Linked DNA regions of Stegostoma tigrinum. The protein of the gene in region 2 interacts with the protein of the main gene of each other region in a pairwise test. Links are inferred from orthologs where the notes say so. Each region holds a gene or a part of one and is shown on either strand. Other genes may lie near its edges.

Evidence for each region.
Region 1: the proteins of blmh (region 2) and nudt12 interact in binary tests that used the Homo sapiens proteins (3 or more experiments, as listed by UniProt). The two-hybrid records come from large-scale screens. The link is inferred for Stegostoma tigrinum from reciprocal best matches to the Homo sapiens genes BLMH and NUDT12.

The regions. Positions count from the first base shown.
Region 1 is NC_081356.1:83,479,114-83,494,611, forward strand, and holds the start of nudt12 (peroxisomal NADH pyrophosphatase NUDT12), read left to right. Parts: upstream 1-9,594; 5' UTR 9,595-9,647; exon of another isoform or gene 9,648-9,721; intron 9,722-9,857; exon of another isoform or gene 9,858-9,970; intron 9,971-12,187; 5' UTR 12,188-12,203; coding exon 12,204-12,409; intron 12,410-14,070; coding exon 14,071-14,651; intron 14,652-15,498. UniProt on the Homo sapiens protein: mRNA decapping enzyme that specifically removes the nicotinamide adenine dinucleotide (NAD) cap from a subset of mRNAs by hydrolyzing the diphosphate linkage to produce nicotinamide mononucleotide (NMN) and 5' monophosphate mRNA.
Region 2 is NC_081380.1:30,031,166-30,045,993, reverse strand, and holds the start of blmh (bleomycin hydrolase), read right to left. Parts: upstream 7,177-14,828; 5' UTR 6,897-7,176; coding exon 6,887-6,896; intron 1,364-6,886; coding exon 1,166-1,363; intron 1-1,165. UniProt on the Homo sapiens protein: The normal physiological role of BLM hydrolase is unknown, but it catalyzes the inactivation of the antitumor drug BLM (a glycopeptide) by hydrolyzing the carboxamide bond of its B-aminoalaninamide moiety thus protecting normal and malignant cells from BLM toxicity.

The DNA.
Region 1 (15,498 bases), on a different chromosome or scaffold from region 2:
AGAGCACGCGGAAGAAATCCATGCAGACACGGGGAGAATGTGCAAACTCCATACAGACAGTCACCCAAGGCTAGAATTGAACCCCAGTCCCTGGTGCTTTGAGGCAGCCGTGCTAACCACTGAGCCACCGCATTGCCCAAAATATTACAGAGACACCAGCAAAATTAAAGTCTCTGTTTCCAGTTGAACATTTGTACTAACATAAATTGAATTTTCATGTAAAGTGCCTGGCTGGCTGTTTGACCCTTTCCCATCCATTTTTAATAAAACTGCATCAACATTGATGACACTGGCATCAACAACATGTTTAAGTAGTTTAGCATAATTCAGTGCTGTTAAAACTGTTGCACTAGTCAACATAACTTTCAAGCTGAAAAGACACACTGACAATCTGCTGTATATTCAAAATTTGATCAAATTTGTTCTCAACAAAATTATCCAACGTCTGACAGAATCCATCCATGCCTACCACAAAATTGCTTGTTTTAATTCAGACACTGTAAAATCCAAAATAGATTTTTGTTTCGCTTCTCTAGATGCAACCTGCCTTGTCGCAGTGTGAGCCTAATAATTTGTAAGTTCACTCTTGGTCAGGTTTATTGTTAAATTGGCTCTTTGTAACAGGTCAAACAATTTACAATTGTAAATGCTCTTTTGAAAGAAAAATGCTGTGGGTACTGGAAATCTGAAGCATACAAGGAAAATACTGATGCAAGCGTCTCCAGCATTTCATCTTCATGAATGATCTTCCCAATTCTAGCTGAACATGATCAAACCATCATTATATCTAACATAGTTGCACAAACCTTAATAGCTTTTTTTCTTAATGATTGCAAGGTCGCTGGTGCATTTTTCATTCTGAACGGCATAAATTCATGCTGATATAGTCCACCTGGAATTACGACAGCTGATATTTCTTTGATTGGATTGTTAAATGGTACTTGCCATTATCCCTTTAATGAATCAATTTTTGTCACCAACCATGCTTCTCCAAGCTTTCCAATACAATCCTTCAATCATGGAATCAGATAAAAATCCACACTTGTTGCCACATTGATTTTCTGAGAATCTATGCAAAATCATTGCTATCCATCTAGTTTGATAGCATCACAATGGGTGAGCTCAAGTACTATGATTTGGTGCAAGGATGGCATTTCCCTTCATGAACTTGATTCTTCCCTCAAATGAGCTAACTTTTCTGACTTGAGTTTGTGAGAATTACATTAACATCATGTATGATCAAAGGTGTTTTCCCTGGTCTATTTACACTTGATTTATGAACAGCTGCAATAGATTTCATAAGACACCTTGGTAGTTTTCTGGAAGGCAGCATCATATTCCATCAAACATTTTAAGCACTTCCATTTGATTACTGGAGGGCTGACTTGAAAATTTTCAATTTCTGATTGATTCTCAAATGCTCTGATGTTTTTCTTTTACTCCCTACTTCTCTCACCACAATAAACACATTCCACTCATGGTTATCTTGCCTGTCATTGTAGAACTTTCACATATTAGCAAGACACACTTACAGATTCGTCTTTATGTCTGGAGTATTCACTCCATTTCACATCATTTAATTTCTGTTTGATTTGATATAGTCCAGTGAACCTCTCTTTTCATGGTTCCCCAGAGACAGGCAACACCAACACTTTGAATGGAATTTTCTTTTCTGAGGCTAAATATCATCATGATCCTAAAAATCCAGAAGGACTTCTGCTCAAGTTCTGTTCAGTTCTTCAGAGTTGATTATATATTTTACGACTCTGTTTTATTGCTGGGAGGACAGCAAGTCTTAGATACCACCAGGTCCTTCGACACTTGAACCACCAGGAGTTACATTTAAAAGACAATTTCACTCTATATCTCTAAGGCTATCAAATCAGTTTCCACCCAAACCTGCAAATAATAGAGAGTAGCCAGAAGGCAGTCCAACATTTAGTGGCTGCTCCATTGAATCGCTCTTCCAGGGTATGCATGAGGATAGGATTATCTTGTTCTCCAGGCATGACAACAAGATTCATCCTGCTGGAAAATTGCAAGGTGGTTTGGAGATTGCTGAAGACGTCAGCACACAATCGCACCAGAGGCATGATGAGATGCAGTTCCATAAATGGATGAATGAGCTACTCAGTCAGGGTAGGTATGACAGTCTACTCAGTTCTGTGTGACCCTAAAACTGTGTCCCATCATAATAAGCTTGCCCCCACACAAACCATTGGGTGTGGAATGCATTGCTGGAGAGGGTGGAGGAGTCAGCATCATTAGGGGCATTTAAGCAGCCATTAGACAAGGATATGGATGATACCATAATGTAGGGGTGGAGGTTAGATAGGCCTTAGGTTCCGGGCAGAATTTCAGCACAACATCGTGGGCCGAGGAGGCTGTACTGTGCTGTACTGTTCTATGTCCTATGTTCTATCACAGACACTCTTAGGTGATATCTCAATCACTTGCTTCATGTCTAATCAGTATTTTGAACTTAATTGCACTTCGCCATGTTAGCCAAAGAGTAACACAGTGATACTACATCTCACACATCTGCCATGGTTATACAGTCATTGAAGTCATATAGAGTCATACAGCACAGAAACATACCCTCTGGTCCTACCAGTCCATGCCAAACATAATCCCAAACTAAACTACTCCAACCTGCCAGTTCTTGTTTCATATCCCTCCAAAAATTTCCTATTCATGTACATATCCAAATGTCTTTTAAATGTTGTAATTGTGTCGGCACCCATCACTTTCCTAGGAGGTTCATTCCACACATGAATTTCCCTCTGCATAAAAGAAATGCCCCTCGTGTCTTTTTAAATTATCTCTCTTCTCAAGTTAAATAGTGTCCCTAGTCTTGAAATCCCCATCCCAGGGCAAAAAACACCTACGATTAACCCCATCTATGTTCCTTATGATTTTATAACTTCTATAAGATCACCTCTCAACCTCCTACACTCCGGAGAAAAAAGTCCAGCCTTTCTTTATAACTGAAACCTTTCATACCCAGCCACATCCTGGTAAATCTCTTCTGAACCCTCTGATGTTTGATAATGTTCTTCAAATAACTGGGTGACCAGAACTGCACACAGTACTCCAGAAGGGCCCTCATCAATGTCATGTACAACCTCAGCCTGACTTCCCAACTCCAAGACTCAAAGGACTGACCAATGAAGGCATATAAGCTAAACATTCACTCCTCAAACAGAAAGAGATCTACAACATTCAGTAGCTCATTCACCTTATAACTAGAATAATCTGTTCTTCAAACAATTTTACAAAAGGCTTGAAGAGCACAGAGGAGACAACCTCAAAACCTTGCTTGACATTCAACGCCTCATATAAACATGTCGTCATGCACAGATGTCTTATAAAGCTTGATTAAATTCCATAAATCAAGATCTTTAACCACACAACGCCACTTTTTATTCAAACCTCATTCAATCACAATGTTTCCAAAACACTTTCTTCTCATTCAGAACATATATATAGTGTCACAGCTCTGCAACTTTACATCTGTACCTGTCCCTATCAATACAAGCAAGCTGTTCACATTGCCATGTTGATTGCTTTATGCCTCTATCTTTCTACAGGACAAGATATTGCACAACCAGAGAGACATTGCAAAGAGAAGCAGTAGAAAGCCCAAAGAATAATTTTATAACCTTAAAAAGAGCTAAATCCTTCCAGAATTGAAAAAATGAAAGCCATTTTATTATTCACTTTTGAACCCAATACACTCCGTAACAGATGTTAAACCTCACATGCAAAGTGTGTGTTTTCTTTTTATTCATTCATGAGCTATGAGTATCGTTGGCTGGCCAGCATTTATTGCCCATCTGTAGCTGCCTTTGAGAAAATGACAGGGATCTGTGTTCTTGAATGCTGTGGTCTATTTAGTGTAGGTAGATCCACAATGCCATTAGGGACGGAGCTCCAGGACTTCGACCCAGCAACACTCAAGGAATGTTGTTATATTTCCAAGTCAGGACTGTGAGAGGATTAGAGGAGGATTTGCAGCTGGTGGTGTCCCCATGCATTTGTTGAACTTGTCTTTCAACATAGGAGTGGGCTTGGGTTGGGAAGGTGCTGTCTAAGGAGTTTTGGTGAAATTCTGCAATGTATCTCGTAGATGGCACACACTAGAGTGATTGAGTTTGGTGGTAAAGTGAATGAATGCTTGTCAGTGTGTCAATCAAATGGGCTGATTTGTCCTGGATGGTGCCAAGCTTCTTGAGCATTATCAGAGTTGAACTCATCTAGGCAAATGGGGAGTATTGCATCATACTCCTGACTGTGCCTTGCAGATGGTGAACAGGCGATGCAGAATCATGAAGTAAGTTACTCACTGTAAGATTCCTTGCCACTGGCTTGCCCTTGTAGCCATTGTATTTATATGGCTTATCTAGTTTAGTTGCTGTTCAATGGTAAGCCCCAGGATGTTGACTGTAGGCTCTTCAGTGATGGCAACACCATTTAATTCCAAGGAATGATGGTTAAATTCTCCTTGTTGGAGATGGACATTGCCTGGAATTTTTTTTATTCATTTGTGGGATTGCTGGTTGTGCCATTGAGAAATATATAATGAGCTGCTGCCTAGAACTACTGCAGTCCATTTTCTATAGGTAGATCCACAAGGCCATCAGGGAGGGAACTTATGTGATGTGAATGTTACTTGTTACTTTTCAGTCCAAACCTGTATAGTGTTGATATTGTTGCATTTGAACATGGGTTGCTTCAAAATCTGAGGAGTCACAAATGGTGCTGAACATTCTGCTATCATCAGCAAACATTCCCACTTCTGACCAGATGATGGAGGGAAGGTCATTGATGAAGCAGTTGAAGATCATTGGACCTAGGACATCACTCTGAGGAACTCCGGCAGAGGCATCATGGAACTGCGATGATTGACCTCAATGTCCACAACCAATGTCCTTTAAGCTAGATATGGCTGCAATCGGTGGGCACTTTTCCACTGACTCTCACTGATTCGAGTTTTGCTAGGACTTGCTGGTGCCACACTCAGTCAAATGTGGCCTTGATGTCAAGAGCTGTCTCTCTTCCTTCACCTCCGTTTTGTCCATGTTTGACCCAAGGCTGTAATGAGGTCAGGAGCTGAATGGCCCTGGTGGAATTCAAACTAGCGGTCACTGAGAAGGTTATTGCTGAGCAGCTGCTGCTTGATAGCACTGCTGATGACAACTTCTATCACTTCTACATGACCAAGAGTAGACTGATCGGCAATAACTTGTCCTGGATTTGTCCTGCTTTTTATGTACAAAACATACCTGGACAATTTCCTGCATTGTCACATAAGATGTCAGTGTTCTTTTTTAAATGAACTTGCTAACTAATGGCATAATAATTAATGACTGATTTAGTTAAACAATGAGGTTCCTTGATTTCTCTACCCAAGCTAGATTTACCTTTCGAGGTAAAAATAGACTTCCCTATTCTCCTACCAAAGCATCCAAACCCTCATGGTTACATCTAAAAGGATTTGTGCATATTGAAGTACATTTTCTTCCGAAGGTTGACAGGGCTGTTAAGAAGGCATACAGTGTTTTAGCTTCTATTAATAGAGGGATCGAGTTCCAGAACCAAGCGGTTATTGGTGAAGCTGTATAAAACTCTGGTGCGGCCGCACTTGGAGTATTGTGTACAGTTCTGGTCACCGCATTATAAGAAGAATGTGGAAGCTTTGGAAAGGGTGCAGAAAAGATTTACTAGGATGTTGCCTGGTATGGAGGGAAGGTCTTACGAGGAAAGGCTGAGGGACTTGAGGCTGATTTCATTAGAGAGAAGAAGGTTGAGAGATGACTTAATTGAGACATATAAAATAATCAGAGGGTTAGATAGGGTGGATAGGCAGAGCCTTTTTCCTAGGATGGTGACGGCGAGCATGAGGGGGCATAGCTTTAAATTGAGGGGCGAAAGATATAGGATAGATGTCAGAGGTAGTTTCTTTACTCAGAGAATAGTAAGGGAATGGAACGCTTTGCCTGCAACGGTAGTAGATTCGCCAACTTTAGGTACATTTAAGTCGTCATTGGACAAGCATATGGATGTACATGGAATAGTGTAGGTTAGATGGGCTTGAGATTGGTATGACAGGTCGGCACAACATCGAGGGCCGAAGGGCCAGTGCTGTGCTGCAATGTTCTATGTTCTATTTAAACTGCTGCTTCCGCTCAGCTTTAACACAATTATTTCTAGTTTTTCTTCATTCCAACTAAACGTTTTTTTCTGGCAGCGTTTTTATTGCATGCCCTCCACACCGCCAACCCCATAATAGTTACAATGCAGACAGCCATTACGAATTGGTAAAGAATGCAGGCTTTAACAGTGCATCAAGTTGGTGATATTGACATTTTAGTCATTCTAAATGAGGACTCAGATTTTCAATGAGCAGCTAATTAGACATGGGGTCATGTAAGTGTTACATTGATTTTTTACAATAGTATCACAAACCAAGGGAGAAGAAACAGAAGGAAATGTGAAAAGATGTAATAAACAGATTCTGATTTGTCCCCATTCTTATTAACACCTCCTTAGCCTCAGCCTACTGCACTCTACAGATCACAATCTCAACCTCCTGTCCAGACTTTCTCAAACCAGAAGAAAGGTTTGGCATTAACATGCACTGATAAGCATGTCGTTGCCAGCACCATTTTATTCATAGCCTTGTGATTTAATCTAATACTGGACTCAATTTCACTGAACGAATCACTTCAGTAGTACATGAAACTACTTCAGAGTGATCCAGGTTTGACAGCAGAAGACAGTCTGGATCAATACTACCTTCAATAGTATTTCTGTTATTTATTCCCTATGAGAATGAAAGCAGAAAACAGGAAAAATGGACATCCCAAGGGAACAAATGAAAACAGCTCAGCAAGGAAGCTTCTTGTGCGGGATCACTCATAGTGGCATTTTTCGTGGGCCCAGTAGAACTCAATGACAGGTCTGGCAGGTAAATACGACAACGGCATCCTGGCAAAACATATGTGAATGTATGCAGTGGATTGATATCCTCAACAAGAATCAGACTGGTTAAAGAAGCTCAATTGTATTCTTAGGTGTACAGGCTAGTGTGTTTTCAGACATATTGTAACCTCTCCTTCTGCTGTGCATGTCTTTTTGAGCAACTGTTGGTACCATTAAACATATGACTTTTGTAGCAAGGACCATCTCCATTACATGTGAACACATGGGGACCCCAGCAAAATGGGGTAAATCCAAACAAAATGGGTTTCTGCCACTTTTTCCTGACATTCGCACCCAAGGAAATGGCTGAATGTATTGGATTCATTGACCTCCTTCCTCTGATCAATGGGGGCAGAGGGGGTGCCATCAGCTGTGGCTCAGTTAGCAGCATTCTTACCTCTGGGTCATGAGTCGTACTCCAAGATTTCTAAACAAGATTGTACGCTAATGCTCCATATAGGTAATGAAACAGTGTCATGCTGACAGAAGTGGCACCTTTGAACTTGAGTAGCACGTGCATATAGCACACTGTCTTCCAGTCATGCAGAGCCCACATTCAAGACTGACTTGTGTGTCACAGGAATATTGGTTAGTGAAAGGCTGATCTGCTGCCTTTTGAAGTATCTGGTGGCTAATGGGAAGGTATGTGGCTTCCATTCTGCCACTTTCCGATCCCTAGAAGATTAGCTTTTTCTCTTTTCTGACCTGTCCAATGTTTCTACCAGAGGATTTCAGCACATGTGCTTTTTATGCAGACACCCAGCAACTGCTGCTTCTAATTCTGGGATAAATTTCACCTATTCCCCATGATGATGACAGAAATATGGGGAATCAAGGCAGAATGTAAATGAATAAAATATTGGGTGCCACAAAAATAATTGAAGTGGGAAATAAGTTGTAACAGCACAGATTGGTTTGGAGGAGTCAATGATCATTGAAAAATCATCTACAATGGAAAAAAAAGGTGCAACATAGACCAGATTGTTCTCCAGTGTTTTTTATTTAAATTGTTCATGGGATGCCAGCTGGCTAGGCCAGCATTAATTATCCATCCCTAAACAACTTGAAGAAGATGGTGATTAGCTACATTCTTTATCCTTTACAGTCCATGCAAATAGGTACACTTACAGCACTGTTCGGAAGGAAATTCCACCAAGGGGCCTGAGGCTGCATCTTTCAAACTCACGGCCACTACCATCTAGAAGGACAAGGGCTGTAGATAGATGGCAAAACTGTGTGGAGTCAGTCCCCACACTATAAGAAAGATGTAGAGACTTTGAAAAGGGTGTTGCTTAGACTGGACAGTATTAGCTGTAAGGAGAGGCTCGACAAACATGGATTGTTTTCACTAGAGTGTCAGAGGCTGAGGGATGACCTGTTGGAAGACCCTGGGTCGGATAGATAGTCAAAATCTACCTCCCAGGTCGAAATGTCAAATACTACAGGGCATAGGTTTAAGGTGAGAGGGGCAAAGTTTAAGGGAGATTGCAAGGAAAGTTTTTAACACTGAGGGTGGTAGGTGTCTGGAACACACAGCCAGGGTAGGTGGTAGAAACAGACGATAGCGATGTTTGAGAACAGTCAGAGAATAAAAGGACAAGCACCTTATGCAGACAGTTGGGATTAGTTCCCAATAGCATAATGGTTGGCACAGACATAGAGGGCTGAAGGGCCTGTTCCTATACTGTACTGTGCTATGTCAGTGTCTTGACTTCATTCATTTAGTGTCACAGGGTCAAAATCCCGGAACTCTCTCCCTAACAGTGTTGTGGATCTCACTACAGCAAATGGACAGTAACAGTGCAAGAAGGCAGCTCACCCCCAGTCTTCTCAAGGCTAAGCAGTAATTCTTGCCCAGCCTACTTTCATGAATGCACTTAAAAAAAAGGTTGGGGTTAATTTTGGAGCATCAGTATTTAGTACTACTACGAAAATGTTATCAGGGTTTATAGTCTTTTTAGTATTATATGCATCACTGGGCTACCAGCTGGAAGTCAAACCCTACAGAAGTCCCCAATTTGCCACCGTCATATCAGATTGACAGAGAGTATTTCCATCTCGTCCTCTCTATATTAATGATTGTCTTCAGATTCTGTCGGTTACAGTTTAGATGCAATGACAGCAATTGCAATGAGCAAGTTCTACACAAAAAAAAACAGAAGTGGCTGGAAAAGCTCAGCAGGTCTGGCAGCATCTGCAAAGAAAAAAAATCAGAGTTAACGTTTCGGGTCCGATGACCCCTCCTCAGAATTGAGGGTCACCGGACCTGAAACACTAACTCTGATTTTTTTTCTTCACAGATGCTGCCAGACCTGCTGAGCTTTTCCAGCCACCTTTGTTTTTGTTCCTGATTTACAGCATCCACAGTTTTTTTTATCGGAAATCCAACAAGTTCTGCAATAACTACAACTCCCGGAATGCAACGAGCGAAGCCGGGAGCTTCTCAGTTATAAATTATTACATCGCCGATCTTCGCGTATTTAGTTTAATACAAAAATAGTGGCGGCTCTAGTTTTAAAAAGATGTTGCACCTTTTGGCCCAGGATATTATTTTGGAATGTGTCAATGTGCTCTGAACTGTCAGCTGTAACCTCAGGAAGCTATTGTCAGCTTTCACACTGAGATATTGACCGCGCCCCCGCAGCCTGACATTGGGTTTGACTGTAAGTTTGCGAAGTATCTCAGTATCGTAAAATGTTTGCATTCACCCAGCGCTCGCAGTCCTTGAAGGGAAACAGTGAGTCACCCTAAATTTAAGCCAACCATTAATTTACTGTTCAAAAAGGCTGGAGTCTAAAAATGACGTTGAGTCTCTGCTTTGATTATTAGTCCCGGAAGTTCATCCAGTTTCGTGGCAGCAGTGCACTGCGAGAAGGATGAAGTTTTTAGGGGTTGCAAAGGAGCTCGGGTGGCCTGAATTCGGTTTCGTGCTCAGCATTGAACCGAATAAAGAGAGTAATCCTCGAGTTAGTGATTGAATCAATAGGTAAAATTCAGGGAATAGGCAACGTGGGCATGCATAAGCTGCTATCTGCAGCATACTTTGCAAGTTATTCATATTATTTAAGTAGTGGGACAAAATTTTATATATAAACGTGAAACAAGGCGATTTCTTCGAAAATTGAGTGGCGAATCGGTTAGCTAGTTTTTCATCCCACTTCATTACACGCACTGGTTGCCAGCTGGCAGCTTTTTATTGTATGTTTCTGCTGGAAGACTGACTGGATCCTGCACTCCATCCATATCGAGTTAACACAACAGCCTTCAAGAATCCGCACTAAAAACAGCACTGAACAAGACAAACATCATGTGGGAAGAAGAACATAAACAGGATTAGAGATAATAGGAACTGCAGATGCCAGAGAATCTGAGATAACACGGTGTGGAGCTGGATGAACACAGCAGGCCAAGCAGCTTGAAGAAGGGTCTGGGCCCGAAACGTCAGTCTTGCTGCTGGTCTGACGCTGCTTGGCCTGCTGTGTTCATCCAGCTCAAAACCTTGTTATTATAAATAGGGTTAGCAAGCATATCGTGTGTGAAAACTGATCTGGGAACAGAAAGAGGGACAAATTTTCTTTAGAAACCCTGCTGGAGTAAACAGGGCATTTGACCCAACAAGTCCACACCCACCCACCGAAGAACATCCCACCATACCCATTCGCCTAATCCTACATTTTTTCTGTCCAGCAAATCTAACCTACGCAACCCTGAACACTGGGTAATTTAGCACAGCCAATCCACCTAACCTGCACATCTTTGGGTTGTGGGAGGAAACTAGAGTACCCAGCAAAAACCCACCCAGACACAGGAAGAACATAGAAATGCCAGTCGCCCGAGGCCAGATCGAACCTGGGTCCCTGGCGCTGTGAGGCAGCAGTGCTAACAAGTTTATGAAGAGGATAGAACTAGGGAAATGGAGGAGAGACAAGTTAGCATATCCAAAAATTTGTAACATGATTATAAGAACAGGACAGTTTACTGGGAGTTGTGATTAAGAAGACACAAAGAAAAACCGAGGGGGCGAGCAGCTTCCGAAATCCATTAGGTTCAATGGCCTGTAGTTGACAGGGAGAAACACAGGTAGATGCCAGATATACCAACTATCCTTCCAGCTGTGTCAGGAAAAGTGATCCCTATTCCATATCCTCCATATACCAATCCTACAATACCAGACTCCTTTTGAAGAATAAGAAGGAATCTGTGATTAAAGTGATAAACTGTTAATATCAAAACCAGTGAGCTACAAAAAAAGAATTAGTTGCTCTTCCTCAAGCCTCATTCCAATGTAGAAATGCAAGGATAGAGTTCAATGCGCCAAGTGACTGGTGTCCCTCTTGCTGATGGAACAGATATGCTGTATGAAGCAGTTAACCACACTATTTGTCTCCTCAGTGTGGATAGGCCCACAGTAATGATTAGTGAATACAGTTATTAATTTGGCAAAAGTATGAGCTAATCACTGTCTCACCTGGAAAAATATTTAATGTAATTGGTTATTTATGGAATGAATGATAAATTATAGGCGATAAAGTAAAAATTGCTCAAACCTATCATGGTAGCAAAAGTTGTAAAAATCCTGAAATCATACTTTCTGCTTATACAATACATTTTTAAAAAAAATTCATTGTAGATATACAGATAATTTATTTTTAAATTGATTCTTGTGTACTTTGATATTTTGATCTTTAAGGGATAATTTATATGTATTTTATAAACATTTTTAATTGGGACACAGCAAATTGAAAAATGCCAGCTGTAAAGTAATCATTGTTAGCAATCAATTTTAAAATAAAAAAAATAGAAATTGTATGTTGACACCATTCTGTGTACAAAATGCCTATCAGGGAATCTTAACGAAATAAAAATGGAAAATGGTGGAAATACACAGCAGCTCAGCTAGTATTTCGAAAGGAAACAGCAGGTTAATTTGCTGTGTGTGACCTGTACTCAGAACTAGAGAATTAATAGTTTTGAAGGCAGATCTCACCTGAAGAATCCTATCTTTATGGTTCTGATACTTCCAGCATTTAAATGATATTTCTAGTGTTTGTGATTTTTTTTATAAAGGATTATTTCTGTTAATCAAAAATTGTGTTATTGTTTAGTATTTATAAGTCCTTTACACCTCACATTAGTTCCACATGTGCAACAGACTACGTTACTTGCATTGAGTGTAATTTACTCCCTGTATTTACTTTGCCAGATTAGGTGAAATACAGATGGCGAATGCTGAAAACAGTCCTGAGAAAGAAATGGTCATACAGTTCCTCCAGAATGCTGCTACAGGAGATACAGAAAAATTGTCAACTGTGTTAAATTATTCTCTGTCTCTCATCAACAAAGTCGATGAAAAAGGTTGGACCGCCTTGATGTATGCTAGCAGGAATGGACATTTTGAAGTTATTCAGCTGCTTCTTGAAAAAGGGTAAAGTGGCAGTCTTTAACGACTAGTTTTGGCAATTGCTCAGTGATAGCTGAGGGCACTGTGCTGTAGCTAAGCTTAGTGGTTCACATTCGATAAAAGTACTCCTATTTTAAGTAACTTTTTTGAAATTTAACATGACTGTGATGACCAAATTAAGATTGAGGTATTCTGAAACAGCATCTAAGCATCTTTTACTTGGCTTCTCGTAGAAATTGACAAATCACACGTTTACAGCCAATAACATTCTATCATCTAAAATTAATTAACAGAAAATTTGTAAACTAGGTGTGTACCATTTTATGGTGGCACTGGCAGAAAACAGCTAAAGCTGTTGTGGTAATTTTGTACAGTGCCTGAAGCAGCACCTGCACAAAGAGTGGTAAACTGAACCATGAACCACAACACGATAACTAATTTTGTTTAAATTTATGTGAAATATTAAAAATAACTGTTGAAAAAATTCCTTTTACAAAACAGTACAGATTTATATTAATAAAATTACCCTGATCTACAGTTTACAACCCACTTGCAATTCGAGATAGGAACATGATTATAAACTGTTCAAAGCATCTTCACTTTGCAGAACGGTTTCAACACTCCTTTTTTTTTGATTGAAATTTTCTGCATTCTTTCAAAAGCTTTGACATTTCAGTAGATATGTTTCAAGCAATGGCAAGTAAGATGTGGTAACTAGGGGATACGGTGGCTCAGTGGTTAGCACTGCTGCCTCACAGCACCAGGGACTAAGGTTCGATTCCAGCCTCGGGTGACTGTCTGTGTGGAATTTGCACATTCTCTGTGTGCCTGCCTGGGTTTCCTCCAGCCGTTCCAATTTCTTCCACAGTCCAAAGATATGCAGGTTAGATGGATTGTCCATGCTGAATTGCCCATTGTGTTCAGAGATGTGTAGATTAGTGGGATGGGCCTGGGTCAGATGCTCTGAGGGTCAGTGTGGACATGTAGGGATGAAGAGTCTGTTTCCACACTGTAGGGATTCTATGATCTATCATCTTACCATTAGTTATGAGTGAGGCACATTTGGTCTTCTGGACTTGCTGCATTGGTTTCTGCCAGTCGCATTATTGCAAGCTTCTATGTTAAAGAGATTAGAATGTGAGAAACCTGAGTGACTTGCAGCCAGGGCTACAAGTTGGAAGAATCCATCTTTGTAAGACTGTGCTATTCATTAGATAAATTTGCTGAGTCACTGCAGACCTCACAACCTAATCAATAACTTTGTTTCGGAGATAGCAGGAACTGCATATGGTGGAGAATCTGAGATACCAAGGTGTAGAGCTCGATAAATGCAGACCCTCCGGTCTACCCCCGAATCGTCAGCTTTCCTGCTCCTCTGATGCTGCTTAGCCTGCTGTGTTCATCCGGCTCTACACCTTGGTACCCTATAGCTTTGCATTGCGTATTGTTTACACACTGATTTCTATGTGGCATGTTCTAGCTGTTTTGGCCAAATGGCTGAAACACAATCTAGTTAAAATATTTTAGCAGTGACCAGCAAAGTTCCACTAGTCTCCTAAGTACCTCGGAATTGGCTGATAGTGTTAGTTTGTAAAGTCTTCAAAAATAATCTTAAAACTTAGGTCAGAACCCTGTCTTGTACTAAATCTAATTTAGGGCACTGTACACCTTTTGTTTTCCTCTAGGTGTGATAAATCTATTTCAAATAATTCAGGACAAACAGCACTGGATATTGCAGAATTCTGGGGACACAAGCACATTGCTGATTTGTTGGCAAACCCTAAACCTGATGCTAGATCAAGGATGTGGTACGATGGCCCAGAAGAAAATGAGAATTATTTTGGCAGAACTTTGCTCAATAGATTAAGTTTAAAAAGGACCAATTCTGATTGGATAAAAAACAAACAGATACAGCCGACCACTGTCTATATTTTATTTTCCAATCTAAATCCATTAGTTATTTCAGCAAAATGTGAAGACTCTGGAAAAACTGACATCCACCTCTGCAGATTGCAGTATGGTGATGTGGAGCAGCTCTTGGCTAATCCAGAAGTCACTTCTGTTTTCCTTGGAGCAGAGCAGCAGGGTGTGGCTTGTGCTAAATTTGCAGTAGGAAGTGCCTTAGCAGAAGATAATGGGCTTATTGCTTGGTTTGCAATAAATGCAGAAATTGTAGCTCCTGAAAACTTTAGGGTTAAATACCCAGATTGTCATTTTCTCCAGCCACTCATCCCACATCTATTGACCTTAAATAAGGAAGAAGCCGGTGAGTACTAATACATTTAGAAATGCAACCTGCACTCTGTGGATGTGAATAGGAAAATTAAACAGTCATTGCATAATCTGTATTTTCACTTATATTGTGCTTGAGTTGTAAAATTACAATAAAATACTCGATTAGGAATACTAAAGGCATGGAATAAGAAAAGGGTATCAGCATAATCCTTTTCAGTGTCCTGAAAATAGGTTCTGCAACACTTTTCCCTTACCCTCCCCAAAGTTAATTTAAAATTTGTATTCTGTTTGAAGTATTAACCAGTTGTCTTCCATGATATGACATTTCAATGAGTTCAGAATACAGGGTCCACAGTTTTCCATAACCCAGTTCATTATGTTTCCTGTTTTATCCTTACTGTCTTCGATGTAATTCCTAAGCAGACTGTTCTTGAAGATGTTTATTAGCACTGCTTTAAGTATTGTATCTGGGAGTCTAATCTACCTCTCTTAAAATCAGCTTAGAAGGAGACCATTTGTTTTCTGGTATCCATGCTGACTCTCTACAAGAGCAACCCAGGACCATTGTCCACACCTGCACCTTTCCTCTCAAGCCGTGCAAATCTTTTCTTGTCAGATCATTAACAAATCCCTTTTGAGAGGCACCAGTTGAATTTGTCTCATCACAATTCAAGCAATGCATTCCAAATCCTAACAATATTGAACATAAAAAATATCCTCATGTTGTCTTTGGTTCGTTCCCCAATTACTTTAAATCATTGTCTGGTTGTACACAGCGTTACTGACAGTGAGAATAGTTCCAGATCGCACATCATTTTTAAACACTTCTCACATATGCAAAATGCAGAATGGGGTCCTCCTCATCTGGAAATTTTTAT
Region 2 (14,828 bases):
AAGGCAGTTTACGATCACCTTCTCAAGGGCAACTAGGTACGGAAAATAAATGCTGGCCCAACCAATGACGCCCACATTCCCTGAGTAAATAAAAAAGGGAAGCACAGAAATATCTGTAAGAAGTTTCGCCCCCTCACACAATCTTGCTCTTCTTCCGATAGCTGTGGGATTAACACTGGAGGTTTCTAATCATGCCAGATCAAAGAGGCCAAGTATTTGATGGAGTTTAAGATATTAAACAAATGTCCTCCAAGTAATTTACAAGAAGGTCTTCTGTGTTAAGCAAAATGAATATTTGCAATTGACATGAAAAATAACAGGAACATAGAAAACAGAAGCAGCAGGCGCCTGCTCAGCTATTCAACAGGTCATGGCTGATCTTCTATTGCAAAGCATTTTCCCAAAGTATTTCCATATCCCTCAATATCTTGATATTTTTATGGAGTTGTAGAAAAAAAAGCAGCTTGCTGGGCCTGGATATTAAGAAATGAAAAACTGTTGAAGGCTGTGTTAATTGAAGATGTGGCAAAATCCCACGCAGCTTCAGCACAAGTATTTTGTGCGAGATTCAGACAGGGTTGAACACAAATAATTACATTTTAAGCATTTTCATGAAGGTGGTGAATAGGCAGTATTACAATATTAAAAGCCAACTGCTACTTCAATACTGAAATAACAGAAGATTCTTGAAACACCAGCAGGTTAGGAGAGAGAAGCCAAAATTTAACATTTCAGGTGATGAACCTCACACCAGGTGCAGTTGGCAAGCATAGACACTTGATTTTCATAACACTGGACACTGGGGTATAAGACTTTTTCTCTCGGAATACTTACATCAACCAAAGCCACTGCTGACTTCAGAGCTCACTGCCAAACATTTGTCAGCAGTTGGGAAGGTAAGTCGGTGTCAATTAAATTAAAGTCAACATTCTTCCGTTAGAATTTTTTCCCAAGCAGTAAACATCAAAAGGGAACTACAAGTATTAGAAAGAACTTCAGCAGTACAAGTGGAGGGGTGTGTACTTGGTACGAAATAGGACATACTTACAATAAATATCAACTCATTATTATTGTGAAACGTTTATCTGGCATAAAATGAAATATTCCAAGAGGTTCAGGTCTCTGTGTCTATCTATTTCAGAATAATTCATTAAATGATAGTTACCTGAATTTTTCTGGTTTGTAACTGGCTTCCCTTCAGCAGGAATGACATGTTTGAACACTTGTGATGTTTCCTGAACAACTTTTCTTTGTAGGTAAGCTTGTAAAAGGTCACCACTGGTTGCTATATTCTGAGCAAGGCTATATTGTGGCACTTCTGAGAAGTTTCTGGTGAAAGCCGCCAACTTCTCTGGACAAAGACCTATGACAAGTATCAAAAATGACAGTCAGGTTTGATGTCTCACAGAAAAATGCACTAAGTTCTTTTCAACACTAGTTTACATGCATTGGATTTATTGATTATATTCTGTCGCTTTACTGTTGCAAGCAAGGAACTATGCTCTGAATGTGATGCTAAAATTGCACCAATGATTTTGAACTGTCTTTGAAATGTTGTAAACCAGATCAAGTTGCTTAAAATGTGTGGGTAATTCTTTTGCAATTTCAAGCATTTACTGCAGACTAGATCAACCAGAGCTGTATACTGTGAAACAAACTACTTGAGACATTCAACAGGTTTTGCAGCATCTGTGGAGAGAGAAACAGAGTTAATGTTTCAAATCTGATCACAGTTTTTTGAAACAAATTTATATTTGTAAGTTTGGATAAGGATATCACACAAACTGCAGATGCTGGCGTCAGAGGCAATACAGTGTGGAGCTGGAGGAATACAGTAGGTCAGGCAGCCTCAGAGGTGCACAATTTATACCATCAACTTTGTTGCTCCTTTGACGCTGTTTGACCTGTTGTGTTCCTCCAGCTCCACATGTATTGGGTTGGATAAGGAGATCTGTTACCCATGCGTAATTTTCTACCTGTGCCAAAATTTTCACTAAATGCTGATGTAACTCTATCACTGTGAACTTATTTGGATCTATAAACAGATTGACTCTAGCTAGCCTTTAGCTTAATTCAAGTATAATACCCAAATGCAACAAAATTAGATCTGATTTTACTTTAACCATTAATTCAGATTCTAAAAAGACTGGCGCCAGGTGATTGGAAAAATTATAGTTACTTACAAATATATTTCATTAGCATCTCAATGCACTACACAATAAATTACTTCCTTTCGTGATGTAGCTGATATATATTTCCACAGTCTGACCTTTATTGCTAGGTCACCTGAACACACAGGGACTTGCAGACAGAAGACTTTGGATTTAATAGCAACAAATTTTGGAATGAACAACTTTTTACATGTGTCATCACAAAACACAAAGGAGAAATTTGCAAAGCTTGCTATGTTGCTAGATGGAAACAGAAGGTTCCAGAATCAGGTGCAGAGTTGGATGAACACAGCAGGCCAAGCAGCATCAGAGGAGCAGAAAGGCTGACGTTTTGGACCTAGACCCTTCTTCAAAAACAAAAAAAAGGGTCTATTCCCAAAATGTCAGCCTTCCTGCTCCTCTGAAGCTGCTTGGCTTGCTGTGTTCATCCAGCTCTACACCTTGTTATCTCAGATTGTCCAGCATCTGCAGTTCCAACTATCTCTACTCCCTCTCGAGTTCCAGAACCAGTTCTATTGCTTTATCTTGGGCCATAATCTTGACCAGTAGGGCTGCTTTATTAGAAACAGTACCGTGCAATTGTTAATGCACATCAATAATTACAGCCTCAGTGCTGCCTCTCCTAATAAGACAACATTCAGCTGCCCATGTGTCCGCAATCAATTGCTATAGGGAGGTAGCATCTTCTGCAAAATGAAATAAACGACTGCATTTCTTAGCACAATTGATGGTTAGGGAAGGAGGTGGGGAGAGGATGAGTGAGAAATATCAGATTTTGAGAGACTACACTCTTAAAAGATTTTTTTTAAAATTTACTGGAGACAAAATAAGTGACTCAATCATATGACGTGAAACATTGTGATGCTAAATAAAAACAGAAAAATCTGCAGATTTACTGTAAATCAGGGACAAAAAGGAAGTTGCTGGAATAGCTCAGCAGGTCTGGCAGCAGTGAAGAAGAAAAAAACTCAGAGTTAACAGTTTCGGGTCCAGTGACCCTTACCCAGAATACATTATATGAAGCTTGTGGCCAGCAGTATAAATCACTGCAGAACACTATGTTCCCAGGTGGCTTAACAATAAATGAAATGTCAGACTTTGGAAATATTCAACTATGTCACTGCAAAAAAAAAGTAATTTATCGAATAGCAAGTTGAGACACTAATGAAAGATATTTTATAGCTAGCCATAATGCAGTAAATGGCGTTTATATAAATGACTCATTACCAAGATTGTTGTGCAAGGAATATCTGAGAATTAAGAGGTAAGTAAGCTAGTTTTTTTTTAAAAAAGCTAGTTGCTACAGGTATTGTCTTTATTTTACTCAAAGTTCACACTACAGTTCATAATGACGATACCATTGTTCACGTTAAACTGCGAGCGTCATGGCCATGCAGTAGTCAGATTGTAACAGTGCAATTTGAGATTCTCTACATAGGGCCTGGGATCTGTGTGACCAGAACATCCAAGTGCATATCCCTTTAGCAGATCAGACTAACAATCATCAATTTGCACTGCAGTCTGAAGCAGAAAGACCATAAGACATAGGAGTGGAAGTAAAGCTATTCGGCCCATCGAGTCCACACCGCCATTTAAATCATTGCTGATGGACATTTCAACTCCACTTCCATGCATTCTCCCCATAGCCCTTGATTCCTTGAGAGATCAAGAATGTATCGATCTCTGCCTTTAAGGCATCCAACGTCCCGGCCTCCACTGCACTCCGTGGGAATGAATTCCACAAGCTCACCACTGTCTGGCTGAAGAAATGTCTCCTCATTTCAGTTTTAAATTTACACCTCTAATTCTAAGGCTGTGCCCACGGGTCCTAGTCTCCCCACCTAACGGAAACAACTTCCTAGCGTCCATCCCATCTAAACCATACATTATCTTGTAATTTTCTATTAGATCCCCCCCCCCAACCTTCTAAACTCTAATGAATACAATCCCAGGATCCTTAGCCATTCATCATACGTTAAACCTACCATTCCAGGGATCATCCGTGAGAATCTCCGCTGGACACGCTCCAGCACTAGTATGTCCTTCCTGAGGTGTGGGGCCCAAAATTGGACACAGTATTCTAAATGGGGCCTTACTAGAGCTTTATAAAGTCTCAGAAGCACATCACTGCTTTTATATTCCAACCCTCTTGAGATAAGCGACAACATTACATTCACTTTCTTAATCACGGACTCAACCTGCAAGTTAACCTTCAGAGAATCCTGGATTAGCACTCCCAGATCCCTTTGTACTTCAGCATTCTGAATTTTCTCACCATTTAGAAAATAGTCCATGCCTGTATTCTTTTTTCAAAAGTGCAAAACCTCACATCGAATTCCATCAGCCATTTGCTGGACCACTCTCCTAAACTGTCTAAATCTTTCTGCAGCTTCCCCACTTCCTCAGTACGACCTGCCTGTCCACCTAATATTATATATCAGAAAACAAGAAAAAACTGAATTATGAAACAGATTTTTAAAAAAGTAAAAGCATCTCCCATCATTATAAATTGAAGGAATCAAACTCCACACTTGTAAAACTTATTCTCAGTGTTTACAGAGGTCGCTTGGCAATAATTAAGATTTATCACACTTAAATTTTTGCTTACATGGGAACAGGCAGGCCGTAACTTGTACTGACAAATTTAAGAGATTAACAGAATTTAGTAAATTCCTAGAGTTCGAAACTACATAGTTATGTGTATGTATATCCAGAATGCCACAACACTCATTACTGGTCAGATACACCACGTGGGAAAATCTAGGAAACACAATTGAAAAAAGCTCCAGCATTTTGTTTGTTAAAGCAGGATTGTTTTAAAACTCTGGGAATGCTAAGATCTATCGTGCGAGAACAGAGACTTCATCATACCCCCCCAATCTATCTGAACACCGAGCCTGGAGAGATTCTAGTTCGATCAGACCTTCAGATTGTCTCTGATGGAAAGCAGCTTCCTTATTTCTGCGATAATGGGAACTGCAGATGCTGGAGAATCCAAGATAATAAAATGTGACGCTGGATGAACACAGCAGGCCCAGCAGCATCTCAGGGGCACAAAAGCTGACGTTTCGGGCCTAGACCCTTCATCAGAGAGGGGGATGGGGTGAGGGTTCGGGAATAAATAGGGAGAGAGGGGGAGGCAGACCGAAGATGGAGAGAAAAGAAGATAGGTGGAGAGGAGAGTATAGGTGGGGAGGTAGGGAGGGGACAGGTTAGTCCAGGGAAGACGGACAGATCAAGGAGGCGGGATGAGGTTAGTAGGTAGGAAATGGAGGTGTGGCTTGGGGTGGGAGGAAGGGATGGGTGAGAGGAAGAACAGGTTAGGGAGGCAGAGACAGGTTGGACTGGTTTTGGGATGCAGTGGGTGGAGGGCAAGAGCTGGGCTGGTTGTGTGGTGCAGTGGGGGGAGGGAACAAACTGGGCTGGTTTTGGGATGCGGTGGGGGAAGCGGAGATTTTGAAGCTGGTGAAGCCCACGTTGATACCACTCCCCCTCCCATCCTCTAGATGGCAAACTATTTCCACTCCCCCTCCCATTCTTCAGATGACATGTCCACCATGGGCCTCCTGCAGTGCCACAATGATGCCACCCGAAGGTTGCAGGAACAGCAACTCATATTCCGCTTGGGAACCCTGCAGCCCAATGGTATCAATGTGGACTTCACCAGCTTCAAAATCTCCCCTTACCCCACCGCATCCCTAAACCAGCCCAGCTCGTCCCCTCCCCCCATTGCACCACACAACCAGCCCAGCTCGTCCCCTCCACCCACTGCTTCCCAAAACCAGTCCAACCTGTCTCTGCCTCCCTAACCTGTTCTTCCTCTCACCCAGCCCTTCCTCCCACTCCAAGCCACACCTCCATCTCCTACCTACTAACCTCATCCCACCTCCTTGACCTGTCCGCCTTCCCTGGACTGACCTATCCCCTCCCTACCTCCCACCTATACTCTCCTCTCCATCTTCAGTCCGCCTCCCCCTCTCTCCCTATTTATTTCAGAACCCTCACCCCATCCCCCTCTGTTGAAGGGTCTCGGCCCAAAACGTCAGCTTTTGTGCTCCTGAGATGCTGCTGCGCCTGCTGTGTTCATCCAGCCTCACATTTTATGATCCTCATTTCTGCACTGACTGACTGCTGGTGCTTCAGTTATTCCTAAATCTGGCCTGACCCATTAGGCATTACATAGACAGCTACAACCTGAAAAGAACGTTCTTCGCTCTTGTACTTGACTCATATGATCCCAGATCAGAAGTTCCAACAGTCCAAAAGACCCAGATAACACAGTGTTGCAAACGGACCAGCTGAAAGGAAACAACTGCCGAAAACTAACTTGCGTTCCAACCCTCCCTCTCTTTGTTGCTTTTGTTTTGCCATTCTTATTCCTTTGCAAGTTAGCAGCATTGCCCGTGCCAAAAAGTGACAGCGGTGCAGGTCCAAGAAGCAACAGTGCCCCGGGAATTCGGCACAAAGAAGATGTTGTAACCCTGTAGGTCAGAGAAATACATACTGCCTGCAGGCCTTAACGGTGATTCAGCATTTACCGAATTCTGCACAAACTCCATTCGCGGGTCGGAGCAGCTACCATTCACACAAGCAGACCCCTAAGCACATACCCACAGACACACACTGCATGGGACTACAGATATCACAAAGGGATAGCTTAGTTCCTGCTCTCCAACAAAGACAGGCTGCGGAGAGGGACAGGAGAACGTTCTCACCTGCTGGCATCCTGTAACGAGGCTCACTCAAAAGATCCCTTCTACAGAAGACACTGGTTTCTGCAACTTAAAATAGCCTGAGCAGCTGCAGCGTCTTAGAGGAATAACCGGAAACAGGAAACTGAGACAACTTGAAGCAGTCCAGAGACTGAGGCAGCCTGGTGTCTGTCAGGAACTGGCGGGGAGGGGGCTAAGCCTGGCCTTTGTTCAACAGCGGGATCGGGACTACGTACAATGTCATTTTTGGAAATTGAGATGTTGTAATTTTCGCTCAAATGGCAAAGAAAGAAAACACCCAACACTGTTACACACCTTGACGACAGAATGCATTCCATTTGTACAGAGGCTGTGCGCTCTTTGCTGCGGGAAATAACACAAAACTTTAACGATTTGGTGTTACTTCAACCAAGAAAACCTCTATCCCTAGCTAATTGCAAGATCGACAAAATAAGTTAGGAATTTATTTAATAACTTTGATTGCTTTTGAAGGATACCCCTATAAATAGGAAGAGCGGAAAGTACTGTTATTCGCATGTAACTGAGCTTCCGAAATTTCAGAATTTTCGAAGGATCACTTCCGTCCGAAGGAAAGCATAGCTAAAACCCAGCTGAGTAAAAGGTCAAACACTGCCGTTCAGGAATACCCCTTCACTTTGCGGATAGCAGGAAAAAAAGAAAGCTTCTAAGGCTATATAGCTGGCACCGGTAACAGTGCATTGGAATCTCAGGAGCGCAAAAGCTAACGTTTCGGGCCTAGACCCTTCAACAGAGAGAGGGATGGGGTGAGGGTTCTGAAATAAATAGGGAGAGAGGGGGAGGCGGACCGAAGATGGAGAGTAAAGAAGATAGGTGGAGAGGGTGTAGGTGGGGAGGTAGGGAGGGGATAGGTCAGTCCAGGGAAGACGGACAGGTCAAGGAGGTGGGATGAGGTTAGTAGGTAGGAGATGGAGGTGCGGCTTGGGGTGGGAGGAAGGGATGGGTGAGAGGAAGAACAGGTTAGGGAGGCAGAGACAGGTTTTGGGATGCAGTGGGTGGAGGGGAAGAGCTGGGCTGGTTGTGTGGTGTAGTGGGGGGAGGGCACGAACTGGGCTGGTTTAGGGATGCGGTGGGGGAAGGGGAGATTTTGAAGCTGGTGAAGTCCACATTGATACCATTGGGCTGCAGGGTTCCCAAGCGGAATATGAGTTCCTGTTCCTGCAACCTTCGGGTGGCATCATTGTGGCACTGCAGGAGGCCCATGGTGGACATGTCATCTAAAGAATGGGAGGGGGAGTGGAAATGGTTTGCGACTGGGAGGTGCAGTTGTTTATTGCGAACCCAGCGGAGGTGTTCTGCAGAGCGGTCCTCAAGCTTCCGCTTGGTTTCCCCAATGTAGAGGAAGCCACACCGGGTACAATGGATGCAGTATACCACATTGGCAGATGTGCAGGTGAACCTCTGCTTAATATGGAAAGTCATCTTGGGGCCTGGGATGGCGGTGAGGGAGGAGGAGTGGGAGCAAGTGTAGCATTTCCTGCGGTTGCAGGGGAAGGTGCCGGGTGTGGTGGGGTTGGAGGACAGTGTGGAGCGAACAAGGGAGTCACGGAGAGAGGGGTCTCTCCAGAAAGCAGACAAGGGTGGGGATGGAAAAATGTCTTGGGTGATGGGGTCGGATTGTAGATGGCGGAAGTGTCAGAGGATGATGCGTTGTATCCGGAGGTTGGTGGGGTGGTGTGTGAGAACGAGGCGGATCCTCTTTGGGTGGTTGTGGCAGGGGCGGGGTGCGAGGGATGTGTTGCGGGAAATGCGGGAGACGCAGTCAAGGGCGTTCTCGACCACTATGGGGGGCAAGTTGCAGTCTTTGAAGTACTTGGACATCTGGGATGTGTGGGAGTGGAATGCCTCATCGTGGGAGCAGATGCGGCGGAGGCGGAGGAATTGGGAATAGGGGATGGAATTTTTGGAGGAGGGTGGGTGTGAGGAGGTGTATTCTAGGTAGCTGTGGGAGTCGGTGGGCTTGAAATGGACATCAGTTACAAGCTGGTTGCCTGAGATGGAGACTGAGATGTCCAGGAAGGTGAGGGATGTGCTGGAGATGGCCCAGGTAAACTGAAGGTTGGGGTGGAAGGTGTTGGTGAAGTGGATGAACTGTTCGAGCTCCTCTGGTTTTCACTATGGACGTCCAGTCCCTATACACCTGTATTCCTCATGCAGATGGCCTCAATGCCCTCCGCTTCTTCTTGTCCCGCAGGCCCGACCAGTCCCCCTCCACCGACACCCTCATCCACCTAGCCGAACTCGTCCTCACCCTCAACAACTTCTCTTTCGATTCCTCCCACTTCCTACAGACTAAGGGGGTGGCCATGGGCACCCGCATGGGCCCCAGCTATGCCTGCCTCTTTGTAGGTTACGTGGAACAGTCCATCTTCCGCACCTACACAGGCCCCAAACCCCACCTCTTCCTCCGTTACATTGATGACTGTATCGGCGCCGCCTCTTGCTCCCCAGAGGAGCTCGAACAGTTCATCCACTTCACCAACACCTTCCACCCCAACCTTCAGTTCATCTGGGCCATCTCCAGCACATCCCTCACCTTCCTGGACGTCTCAGTCTCCATCTCAGGCAACCAGCTTGTAACTGATGTCCATTTCAAGCCCACCGACTCCCACAGCTACCGAGAATACACCTCCTCCCACCCACCCTCCTGCAAAAATTCGATCCCCTATTCCCAATTCCTCCGCCTCTGCCGCATCTGCTCCCACGATCAGGCATTCCACTCCCACACATCCCAGATGTCCAAGTACTTCAAAGACTGCAACTTTCCCCCCACAGTGGTCGAGAACGCCCTTGACTGCATTTCCCGCAACACATCCCTCACACCCCGCCCCCACCACAACCGCCCAAAGAGGATCCGCCTCATTCTCACACACCACCCCACCAACCTCCGGATACAACGCATCATCCTCCGACACTTCCGCCATCTACAATCCGACCCCACCACCCAAGACATTTTTCCATCCCACCCTTGTCTGCTTTCTGGAGAGACCGCTCTCTCCGTGACTCCCTTGTTCGCTTCACACTGCCCTCCAACCCCACCACACCCGGCACCTTCCCCTGCAACCGCAGGAAATGCTACACTTGCCCCTACACCTCCTCCCTCACCGCTATCCCAGGCCCCAAGATGACATCCATATTAAGCAGAGGTTCACCTGCACATCTGCCAATGTGGTATACTGCATCCATTGTACCCGGTGTGGCTTCCTCTACATTGGGGAAACCAAGCGGAGGCTTGGGGACCGCTTTGGAGAACACCTCCGCTGGGTTCGCAATAAACAACTACACCTCCCAGTCGCAAACCATTTCCACTCCCCCTCCCATTCTTTAGATGACATGTCCATCATGGGCCTCCTGCAGTACCACAATGATGCCACCCGAAGGTTGCAGGAACAGCAACTCATATTCCGCTTGGGAACCCTGCAGCCCAATGGTATCAATGTGGACTTCACCAGCTTCAAAATCTCCCCTTGCCCCACCGCATCCCAAAACCAGCCCAGCTCTTCCCCTCCACCCACTGCATCCCAAAACCAGTCCAACCTGTCTCTGCCTCCCTAACCTGTTCTTCCTCTCACCCATCCCTTCCTCCCACCCCAAGCCGCACCTCCATCTCCTACCTACTAACCTCATCCCACCTCCTTGACCTGTCCGACTTCCCTGGACTGACCTATCCCCTCCCTACCTCCCCACCTATACTCTCCTCTCCACTTATCTTCTTTTCTCTCCATCTTCGGTCTGCCTCCCCATCTCTCCCTATTTATTCCAGAACCCTCACCCCATCCCCCTCTCTGATGAAGGGTCCAGGCCCGAAACGTCAGCTTTTGTGCTCCTGAGATGCTGCTGGGCCTGCTGTGTTCATCCAGCCTCACATTTTATTAACAGTGCATTGGAAATTGACTTTCACATTACATGCAGGCAAGGAAGGAGCTCAAAAATGGTCTGAGGAGAGCCAGGAGGGGGCACGAGAAAGGCTTGGCAGAAGGAATCCGGGAAAACACAAAGGCATTTTACACTTACGTGAGGAATAAGAGAATGGTCAAAGAAAGAGTAGGGCCGATTAGGGATAGCATAGGGAACTTGTGTGTGGAGCCTGAGGAGGTAGGGGAAGCCCTAAATGAGTTTTTTGCTTCTGTCTTTACGAAAGAAACCAACTTTGTAGTGAATGAAACCTTTGAAGAGCAGGTGTGCATGCTGGAATGGATAGAGATAGACGAAGCTGATGTGCTGAAAATTTTGTCAAACATTAAGATTGACAAGTCGCCAGGCCCGGATCAGATTTGTCCTCGGCTGCTTTGGGAAGCGAGAAATGCAATTGCTTCGCCACTTGCGAAGATCTTTGCATCCTCGCTCTCCACTGGAGTCGTACCTGAGGACTGGAGAGAGGCAAATGTAATTCCTCTCTTCAAGAAAGGAAATAGGGAAATCCCCGGCAATTATAGACCGGTAAGTCTCACGTCTGTCGTCTGCAAGGTGTTAGAAAGGATTCTGAGGGATAAGATTTATGACCATCTGGAAGAGCATGGCTTGATCAAATACAGTCAACACGGCTTTGTGAGGGGTAGGTCATGCCTTACAAACCTTATCGAGTTTTTTGAGGATGTGACTAGAAAGGTTGATGAGGGTCGAGCTGTGGATGTGGTGTATATGGACTTCAGTAAGGCATTTGATAAGGTTCCCCATGGTAGGCTCATTCAGAAGGTCAGGAGGAATGGGATACAGGGGAACTTAGCTGCTTGGATACAGAATTGGCTGGCCAACAGAAGACAGCGAGTGGTAGTAGAAGGAAAATATTCTGCCTGGAAGTCAGTGGTGAGTGGAGTTCCACAGGGCTCTGTCCTTGGGCCTCTACTGTTTGTAATTTTTATTAATGACTTGGACGAGGGAATTGAAGGATGGGTCAGCAAGTTTGCAGACGACACAAAGGTCGGAGGTGTCGTTGACAGTGTAGAGGGCTGTTGTAGGCTGCAGCGGGACATTGACAGGATGCAGAGATGGGCTGAGAGGTGGCAGATGGAGTTCAACCTGGATAAATGCGAGGTGATGCATTTTGGAAGGTCGAATTTGAAAGCTGAGTACAGGATTAAGGATAGGATTCTTGGCAGCGTGGAGGAACAGAGGGATCTTGGTGTGCAGATACATAGATCCCTTAAAATGGCCACCCAAGTGGACAGGGTTGTTAAGAAAGCATATGGTGTTTTGGCTTTCATTAACAGGGGGATTGAGTTTAAGAGTCGTGAGATCTTGTTGCAGCTCTATAAAACTTTGGTTAGACCGCACTTGGAATACTGCGTCCAGTTCTGGGCGCCCTATTATAGGAAAGATGTGGATGCTTTGGAGAGGGTTCAGAGGAGGTTTACCAGGATGCTGCCTGGACTGGAGGGCTTATCTTATGAAGAGAGGTTGACTGAGCTCGGTCTCTTTTCATTGGAGAAAAGGAGGAGGAGAGGGGACCTAATTGAGGTATACAAGATAATGAGAGGCATAGATAGAGTTGATAGCCAGAGACTATTTCCCAGGGCAGAAATGGCTAGCACGAGGGGTCATAGTTTTAAGCTGGTTGGTGGAAAGTATAGAGGGGATGTCAGAGGCAGGTTCTTTACGCAGAGAGTTGTGGGAGCATGGAATGCGTTGCCAGCAGCAGTTGTGGAAGCAAGGTCATTGGGGTCATTTAAGAGACTGCTGGACATGTATATGGTCACAGAAATTTGAGGGTGCATACATGAGGATCAATGGTCGGCACAACATTGTGGGCTGAAGGGCCTGTTCTGTGCTGTACTGTTCTATGTTCTATGTTCTAAATACTTTGCATCATCATCTGTCGGCATGTTATTTGTAGCTGCAGCTGTGGAGATTATCCATCCTGAGTGTCACTGCTGTTTCCCAAAAAACCCAATGTGGCACATCTTGCTGTGGGTGTATAACATATTGTAATGCCTTCAAGTAGCTGTTTAATAAATGTTAGTATTAGTAATGGTAAAAGCGAATAAAGAACAGCAAAAATGCTGCATTTGCTGCTGGGACTAAACAAGGGTTGCCTAACTTTCCAGGAACAAGAGATTTACAGTTGATGAATGATGACTTCCCCCATCCTAGACCTAGTCAATTAAATACATTCTGGCTTGTTGTGCCTGACACTGCAGCACTCTGTCACAGTGAAGCTGATGTCCTTCTTGCTCAATATTCCGCTTGGAACCTGTCCCAGCTCTTAAGTATCTATTACACCTCTTCTTTGCCTGCTACAGTTGTAGCATAACAGGATTTTGCAGGGCCCTCTGTCTGGACTGTACTGGAAGGCCAGACCAGACTATTCCAAGCCATCAGAACAGCAAGGCTGTCCTCTAATCCATGTTGGCCTTGGTGGAAGAGTGAACTGCATTGCTCACCTTCTGTGAATGTTTGCATAGTAAGGCCATGCCCTATGGTTACAGAGCATAACCCTTATCTCCCAGCATCTGTCCTTTTACAGCATCTAGCCCTTGAACTGAAGCAGGAACATGGGAATTCCGAAGGATATAGGTATCTTGGCATCTTCCAGGGCACCTGTTGCAGACTTCTAAGATGCGGGTGGAATGGAACTCTTTTCCATTAATGAGTCCATCACTTTAGGATATGGTAATGTCACTCCATATTGTACCGTGGAGGGAAGCTAGTGACGTTGGCAAAGCCTGGACTACAGCACTGAGAGTCATCACAAGGAACCAAGATGAAGGAGTGTGATTTGGCACAAATTGCATTGGTAACAGCCTTGATCCATTTGTGGGTTGAGGGCTGAGAGATCCTACAGATACCCCGTGGATCCTTGGAAGGATCCAGTTCCATAAAGACTTAGCATATAGGGTGGTCACCCAGTAATATTCCCTCTAAGCTGTGCTGCTGCATGTGCAATGTTCTATACATGCTGATTGATGTCAGCACACCAATCATGGCATTGATTCCTGGTTGCCATACATGGGCCTTGGAGGCTATTTGGTTGAAGCACTTACACAGTGTTTGCCACATACACTGCTGGTACATAGTGTAGGTGTGACATTAATATTGCATGGTGCCAAACAGCAACATGCCTATTCCCTTAAGTGGTCATTATTGATGTAGCAGGCCAGCTGACTTTATCTCTACACTAAAAAGCAGAGATAGAAATCGTGTGAAACTCTGAGCACTGACTGAGGCAAAAAAAAGGCAAGACAGAGATGCTGTGGGCATCCAAGTATGATGTGAAGGTGCCAGCGTTGGACTGGGGTAGACAGGGTCAGAAATAAGACAACACCAGGTTATAATTGAAATCAGAAGCTATTGAAGCATTGCCCCTTCATCAGGTAATGATATTGGTGAAGGGTAGGAAACAAAAACAAAGTTGCTGGAAAAGCTCAGCAGGTCTGGCAGCATCTGTGGAGGAGAAAACAGAGTTAACGTTTCAGGTCCCGTGACCCTTCCTCAGAACCCTTTCTCTACAGATGCTGTCAGACCTGCTGAGCTTTTCCAGCAACTTTGTTTTTGTTCCTGATTTACAGCATCCGCAGTTCTTTTGGTTTTTATTTGGTGAAGGGTAGTATCAGTTTCAGTTATTTAAGAGCTGGATTTTCAGACAGAAGTATTTGCTGTAGAAGCAGAGGGGAAAAGACTGAAGTCAGCAGATATACAGAGTCACACCTGGGAAAATTCAGTCCCCAGAGAATAGATTCTTATTTATTCTCAATTATAGTTCTGTGCTGGGTTAACTGATAGCTGTTTAAGTGCAAGTGGCAATGCTACAATTAGTGACATTACATTAGGGACAAAAGAAACAGGTTGCTTACTGTGGGATATAATCTTGGCTGGTGGAATGCATAAGCCAATAACACAATAAAGGTGGCAAGATTTTCCATGCTTTTCTCAGCAATATTGCCAATGGTGCACATGTTTGAGGAAATCA